Arabidopsis thaliana: one gene and its partner. The protein of the gene in region 1 interacts with the protein of each later gene in a pairwise test. Each region holds a gene or a part of one and is shown on either strand. Other genes may lie near its edges.

Region 1 (3,321 bases):
AAAATAAACCCCTAACGAGAATTCATTTTCATAACATAAGATCTTCAGATCTAACAATCACATGCCTGTTCAAATATCAGAGGATGCAAATGCGACGACACAATCTAAGATTAAACACCAAATTGATCTGGAGGGAAATTGTCTAGATTTAGAGAAAGCGAGAGAAGAGAGATGACCTGTAAAGTCCGGGTGGCGAATTCGACGCCAATGGTGGATTTGGATTCGAGACAGAACTCGTTTCTGGTGAATCGAGAGAGAATGTTGGATTTACCAACACCGGAATCGCCGATCAGGACGATCTTGAACAAGTAATCGTACTCATGATCTATTCTATTCGCCATTGCTTCTCAAATCCTAGCGTCTGATCAACCTACGCATATACACATTCACGTCAACATCGATCGAAGAAACTACAACTAATCATCGTCAATGAGATCAAAAAGCAGCAAATCGAAACCCTAGAAAATCGAATTTTACCTTTTGAGCAAGCCGGAAGGATCGAGAATGGAACAAATGTTTTTTTTATATATTTTGTTTCTGTATTTCTCTGTTTCCTTTCCTTATACGTTGCGGGTTTTGTGCCCAAGAGGTGAAAACGGAAACTCCCTTTTATTTAGTTTCGAATTTTGAGATTCTTTTTTTTTTGTTTACCACGGAAGAAATAATTTCATTAAATTTCAACTTTTTGTTATAAGACTTTGTTACAAATCAGTCATACCAAAACTAAGATCAGATTATGCAAATTGCATATCTAAATTAAAAATTCAACCTTTAAACTTAAGTTTAGTTGGTCCCATCCGAGTTAAAATCGAATTTACGGCTAAAATCTTCAGAAAAAGCAATTGAAACGAGAATATAAAGGCCTTGCTTAATTATTAGGATTAACAGTTATAATACATCATTACCAAAACACAGAGCCATATTCAAATCAAGAGCCATAATCAGAAGAGTCTTTACGCATAAACATGAAACCCATAAGCTAATTGGCTTTAGCCAGAGATATCAATAGACTTAACTTGAGCCTTCTTCTTAGCCTCTTCCACTTTAGGCACCGTCACAGTCAGAACTCCGTTCTCCATGGAAGCCTTGACTTGATCCATCTTCACATTCTCCGGCAGCTTAAACTTCCTCGAGAATTGCCCGCTCGACCTCTCCACACGATGCCACGTGTCCTGCTTCTCCTCTTTCTCCACGTGTCTCTCTCCACTGATCTTGAGCACACTGTCGTCCTCTATCTCCACTTTAACCTCCTCTTTCTTCATCCCCGGCAGATCGGCCTTGAACACGTGCGCCTCCGCCGTCTCTTTCCAGTCCACACGTGCGTTCGTTATCGCCGATGTTTCTCCGGAGAGCGACGACGGGAATTGCAGTTCCTTGAATGGATCCCAAACGTCGAGTGAGAACGGGTCGAAGATGCTGTTGCTTCGCCTGTTGTTGCCGAAGAAGCTTGGAATAAGCGACATTCTCGATTTGATTTCGAAAGCGAAAGAGATGTTTGGAATGCTGAGATAGCTAATTACGATTTTCCGGCGAGTTCGATTTCTACTTCTGAGCAAAGCTGGTGACTCGGATGATGTATTTATAGTGGTGAACAAGAAATCTCCAGAGCTTCTAGAATTTACGGGTCCCAAACTTCTTTAAACTTCACACGAAAACGATGAAAAGATTGGAAAACAGAATCCAGAAAACTCTAGAGTCTACTAGTAGATGCCTTTCAATTTCAAGTACAGTACGACTCTATTCAGCCGTTATGCGTTTTATGGGCTATAATGGGCTCCTGAGGCCCAAATATTATGAGATAATGTTTAGAAATTGAAACTGGTATCATGTATATATTTGACATCGAAGACATATATTTTGTATACAAAAGCTTTTTCTCATCTAACTTGGATCAACTAAGAAAGCATTTTAAGACTGTGTTATTCCAGTGGTGTATACCTTGGCTAATCCACAGAATCAGTTGCAGACTGAGGAACGCTTGAACTGTAGAATATGATGAACGCATAGATCTACACGATAAAACCATTCTCGGGACCATCGTGAGTCTATGTAGAGGAAAGCAAACAATGCCAAGGATGTAGATATGTAGACTGCAGCACAAGTCCAGTAAAACCACACCATGTCTATCACATTACCTTCTTCTTCATTTTCTTCCTCTTTGGCATGCGTTGACACACTTGGTGGCTCAGGGACTCTCTGGGAGATGCAATTTTTATTTGTAGGAAGTCCACAGAGATGAGCGTTGCCTATGTAACTCCTCTCGTCAAAGGTAACAAGATGGCCTTTGAAAGGGATTTCACCTGATAAATTGTTATATGAGATATTCAAGTATCCTAAACTGTTGAGATCGGCTAGCGCAGGAGGGATACTTCCATCTAGCTTATTGTTGGATAGATCAAGACTCTCTAAGCCCTTCAGCTTTGAAATGCTATCTGGTATGGAGCCTGTGAGGCGGTTACTTGACAAATTCAGGGACCTGATATTCTGAAGATCTCCAATCTCGATTGGAATTTCACCCGATAGTTCGTTGCTCGACAAATCCAGACCATGCATATAGCGGAGAATATCACCTTGATACGCCTCATATCTGCTTTTCGTTAAAAAATCCACTACGGTTGCTGGTTTTGGTTGATAACCATTCCTGACACCATCATCCAAGTTAAGATGTGATCCATATTGACAATGTGGCAAGAATGTAATGTATGAGAAGTCAAAATCTGCAACAAGTGACATGGTACGGTCATTCTGCTCTGCACCAAAAGACATTTTACTGAAACATGATGGTATGGGGCCTCTGAATTGATTGTGAGACAAGTCTAACAGACCAACTTCACTTAGCTGACATATTTTCCCAGGGATATAAGTTTGAAAGCTGTTATTCCGTAGAAGAAGAATACGTAACTTAGATGTCTGGTCAATAGTGTTCAGTATCTTTCCAGAAAAATTGTTGTTCCGCAAATCAAGCACTTCTAATCCCGCAGCCTTGAATAAATTTCCCGGAACTAAACCCGTAAACTCATTGTTTTGTAGTCTTAGTTCTCTGAGAGATGGAAAATTCACATTCCTTGGTATCGAACCAGAGAAGCTATTGTGTGAGATGTCCATAACCTCAACCCAAGGACTCTGTCGTAGAAAAGGGAAAGGACCTTTTAGCTGATTACCACTCATGTATAGGTAGGAAAGCCTTGATATCCTACCAATCCAAAGTGGAAGCATGCCCGAAAACCTATTATCTGATATGTCTAAAAGAGTAAGATTCTTTGACTTCAATAAACCCTCTTCAAGACTCCCAGTAAAATTGTTGCCATCAAGAAAAAGCCC
Region 2 (4,373 bases), 8.8 Mb from region 1:
ACTCGACTATTCGGGTAAAAATGAATCATAGTAAAAAATTTAGAGTTTTTAAAAGAAATTGCTATTTATGTCTATAATGTTGGTGAAGAAGTTGAAGACGATAATGAGAAACTTTTGGAAATAGTGACACGTAAGAAACCAATTTTCGCATCTAGAACTCTTCACAAATTTTGGATGCATATTGAGAAGATATCACCCGGAGTTTTTGATGCAATAAAAAGAAAATTACAGATGAAATTCAACAAGATTCAAACTTTAAGAAAAGACAACAAACAACACTGGACTCATATTATAGTAGATTATCTTAAAAATTTTGATTATTAATTTATGTTATTATTGGGACCATATTTTTACATAGAGATTTCAAAAAAATTATTATCTTATCGATTTTGTTTAATTTTTACATTGGCCCGACTTGGGACCAACATAATTTATTAATTTATTGTGTTTATTAATTTATCAAGTATTAATTTATAAAGTTTCTACTGTAGATGACAAAGTATATACATGAATATTAGGTAGCCAAAGAATACAACTTTCTATAAAAAGGAAATAATAAATATACACAATTATTCTCAAAAAAGGAAAAATATATAGAAATTTAAAAAGACATGAATGTTTAAATAGACAAAATTGTTGGTAAGGGACATAATTATTGAAGATAATAGAAACACTAATAAAACATAGTGAAAAATATACAACTCTAAGTGAACATATATAACTTCAATTAATTCTCAAAAATATCTTTAATGACTGTAAAATACAATTTTGAGTATAACAAAAAATAAAATAAAGTAAAGTCGCGTAAAAAGACACAACTTTTCACAACTATAAATTAAAAATTAAGTTATTAATTTATGAAAAGTTACACTGAAAAATGTGACAATGGATAATTATCCATAGCTTTGATTTGTCGGAGATGACTAGTAGAGTTCCTTTGTTAAATTAGAAATGGTTTGCTTACATATTACTAACTGATTACTGTTTTTGTTAGTGTTTCGATTTTGATGGTTTAATCAGTAGCTATTGAACATGTGGAGCCGCCGAATGAAAGACTCAACGCCAAACGTGCGATTGTCACAGTAAATTTGGGAAAATAATCTCTTTATGAGCTTTCATTTGAAAAATACCCTATCCTTTTTTCTTTTCTAAAAATTAAATTTTTAATATATAAATTATTAAACTAGGCTCACTAAAATTTAGCAATAATTAAAATTATTTTGAACTTAAAATAAAAAGAAACCCATAATTTAAAAGTTGATGCAACTAAAAATTTTAAAGATAATTTTTCTCTTAAATATTTTTAACTAAAATTCGTCAAAACAAATAAATAAATAAACTTTATTAAGTGATAGACTAAAAACTATTTTAGATATCATTTTGTTAAATTTTAATATAAATATAATAAACTATTTTTATCTCAAAAATATTTGAAAAATAAACAACATAATATATTTATTTTATTTTATTTTTTCTAAATTTCGTTTTTTTTTTAATTTATCAAGAAAACAGCTTTTGTTTTAAATCTGGACAAAACTGTTATTTTATATATTAAATTTTTTAATATTTTTTAAAAATAAAGAAAGTGTATTTTTCAAATAATAACTAAAAAACAAGGTAGTTTTCAAAATCTCCCTAACTTTTAAGGGCTTGGCCATGGGTAGGAATAGTGAACATGTTGAACGCAAAGCTATAGTTAGAAGAGTCATCAATGAGCATGAAGGATACTTGTCTCTCAAGGGTGACATTTGGAGTTGAGAAAAAGCTTTGAATTCGGAATTGAGAAGATCCAGTGAGAATGTGGACCTAATAATAACCAACTAATTGACTAAAAAAATATTTTGTGAATTTGAAGTTGGACACCGTTAAGTAGATTTGTATCTTGGATTATATATACGTGTGTGTGCATTGACATTCTTCTTGGTGGTTTTAGACGTTTTAGTTTTCCATTTCGGTATTTCCCATTAATAAAGAGTTAAAACGACGACGTATGTTGATAATCTCTAAATGACGTCGTTTGATTGAAAATGTCGTAAGAAAAATCGATCGAAACGGTTAGCGAATCGAAGCAGAGAGAGCTTCAATGGCTGTCACTTCTTCCTCTATGCTGCTGCTTCGGTGAAACTCTCTCTCGATACAGAAATAAGGAATTGGTTGTTGAATTTGCTAATGCCGTTGAGGTTTTTCGTTTTTTAGGAACTTCTCTACGGTGGGAAGAGTTGCTCAATCTGTTCGTGTGACTTCGAGGATCTTCTTCTCCACCGGAGAATTGATTAGGGTTCTTCCTTATACTCGTTCTAAAAGGTTATAGTTTCTCTATTATATTGTCTTTGTTATGGAGATTATTGTAATTGACCTGATTTGGTTTAGTCGCTCTGTAGATTGATCTGTTCTACTCGTGCTGCTCATAATGAAGAAGCCGCCGCGAAAGCTGCGGCTTCTGTTGCTGACACCGGAGCTCCGACCATGTATGGTTTCTCTTAATTTTGATTTCAAAGCAATCCATGTTTGTGTTTTTGCTACAAATGATCCTAATCTTTCAAATATGTGACCTAGTTAATTCTTCGTTATTGATTTGGATGTGATTCGTGGAAGTTTATGCTAGACGCTCTTGTGTATGTGTATCTTGTGGTTTTAGATTTGACAAGATTATAGCAAAAGAGATTCCCTCAGATATTGTCTATGAAGATGAAAACGTTTTGGCATTCAGAGACATTAACCCTCAGGCTCCTGTTCATGTTTTGGTCATTCCCAAGTTGAGAGATGGCTTGACCTCGCTTGGCAAGGTGAGTCAGTTTTATGTTTTAACATTCAATCTGTTTCTTCTCGTGACTTCCTTTGGTCTTGCTCTTAGAGGTCTCAAAGAATCTCATCATTGTGTTCTGTAACTAGTAACGCGTTTCATCATGGTATTGTGCCACTGTTTCTGGTCAATATATGTAAATGCTGCCACCCACACTAAAAAAGGAGTTAAAAGTATTATTTTGGTGGAACAGATTAAGATTTTACCTGAAACATATCTTCCTCTGAACCGCCGTCGCAGGCTGAACCAAGACACGTAGAGGTTCTTGGCCAACTTCTACATGCATCGAAGATTGTTGCTGAGAAAGAAGGAATCCTTGATGGGTTCCGTGTGGTTATCAACAACGGTGTTGAAGCCTGTAAGTCTTTTCTTTTCTTTTCCATCCAATTAAGCATCATCGTCCTCATACACATGACTGAATTAACTTCCTCTCATTCAGGCCAATCTGTTTACCATCTTCATCTGCACGTCCTCGGAGGCCGACAGATGAAATGGCCACCCGGTTAAGAAGAAAGATTCATGTCAACCCAAAGCCAACGTGCTCCAAAATTGTCAACTACAATCCTTTCTTATATGGTTTATGAGTTTTTACCACTATCGGATTTTATCCAGTTGTGAATTCCTAGAGATTAGATAGCTTCCATTTCCAATTGTTATCGAATTCTTTTTCTTTTTTCATTGTTAGAAATAAATACTAACAATTTATATGATATGAGTAGTTTCTCTCCTACAATTATCGTATATGGATCTGTACATATTAATGAGAGTTAGGAGAACACAACAGAACACAGGTTTGGTTAATTTCTGCTAAAGAAAACCTTTTAATATAAACCAGAAAGCTATCATAGCATGGTCAACATGTTCATTAGAAAGTCAGCAAAGAAAATAACCGGTAATAAATTAACCGTCTGGTAAGCTGAACCAAACCGGGTCGATCTGCTTAAGTTGTTATTAGATAGGGAGAAGTTGTTGTCCTAGTCTTGGGGCTGGTTGTGGCGGCGGGAGGAGCTGAAGAACGCCGGTGGGTTCTCCTTCTTCACTTGCCGGTGCATGATGTCATCATCTTCGTGCCTTTGACACACCATGAGATTCTCCTTAAGCTTGTCTGTTTGTTGTTGCTGCTGCTCCTGCTGCATGAACTCAAAACTACATAATTAATAAACAAGAGACATGAACCACTAAAACTGTGAAATTTGGGATATGTGTGTGCTTATAAAAAACTATTTTATACCAAAGTACATGCTGTATATGAATATCTAATATATATGTCGCTTAAATAATTATATCCTAGAGTGTGTATATTATATACCTTATGAGCTCGAGCAATATGGAGAGAAGATTCGAGTTGATGCTCAAAATGAAGAAGCTCGTCGTAGGTTAAATTATTCAGACCATGTCCTCCATACAATTGAAGCTTCAGTTCAAGGTTCTCTATCTCTCTCATCATTGATTCTTTCATCTTTGTACAATTTGAAGAACAGTGATCCTACAAGAAATTTGATATTGTTATAACCATAGTCCATAAGCAATAACAGGAGGAAAAACAAAATGTAATCAGATAAAATATGGG

Evidence for each region.
Region 2: the proteins of AT1G07400 (region 1) and HINT 2 interact in a two-hybrid assay, tested with the Arabidopsis thaliana proteins (one large-scale study listed by BioGRID).

The regions. Positions count from the first base shown.
Region 1 is NC_003070.9:2,273,290-2,276,610, reverse strand, and holds AT1G07400 (HSP20-like chaperones superfamily protein), read right to left. Parts: upstream 1,686-3,321; 5' UTR 1,464-1,685; coding exon 990-1,463; 3' UTR 828-989; downstream 1-827. Other genes in the region: RABA2b (RAB GTPase homolog A2B), read right to left, coding at 177-341; RLP1 (receptor like protein 1), read right to left, coding at 1,957-3,321. UniProt on the Arabidopsis thaliana protein: Cytosolic mediator for sorting and targeting of nascent chloroplast outer envelope membrane (OEM) proteins to the chloroplast. Functions as an AKR2A cofactor to facilitate the targeting of OEP7 to chloroplasts.
Region 2 is NC_003070.9:11,121,817-11,126,189, reverse strand, and holds HINT 2 (HISTIDINE TRIAD NUCLEOTIDE-BINDING 2), read left to right. Parts: upstream 1-1,969; 5' UTR 1,970-2,083; coding exon 2,084-2,118; intron 2,119-2,196; coding exon 2,197-2,304; intron 2,305-2,381; coding exon 2,382-2,468; intron 2,469-2,638; coding exon 2,639-2,786; intron 2,787-2,996; coding exon of another isoform or gene 2,997-3,043; coding exon 3,044-3,161; intron 3,162-3,242; coding exon 3,243-3,310; 3' UTR 3,311-3,586; downstream 3,587-4,373. Other genes in the region: AT1G31150 (K-box region protein (DUF1985)), read right to left, coding at 3,778-3,933, 4,113-4,289.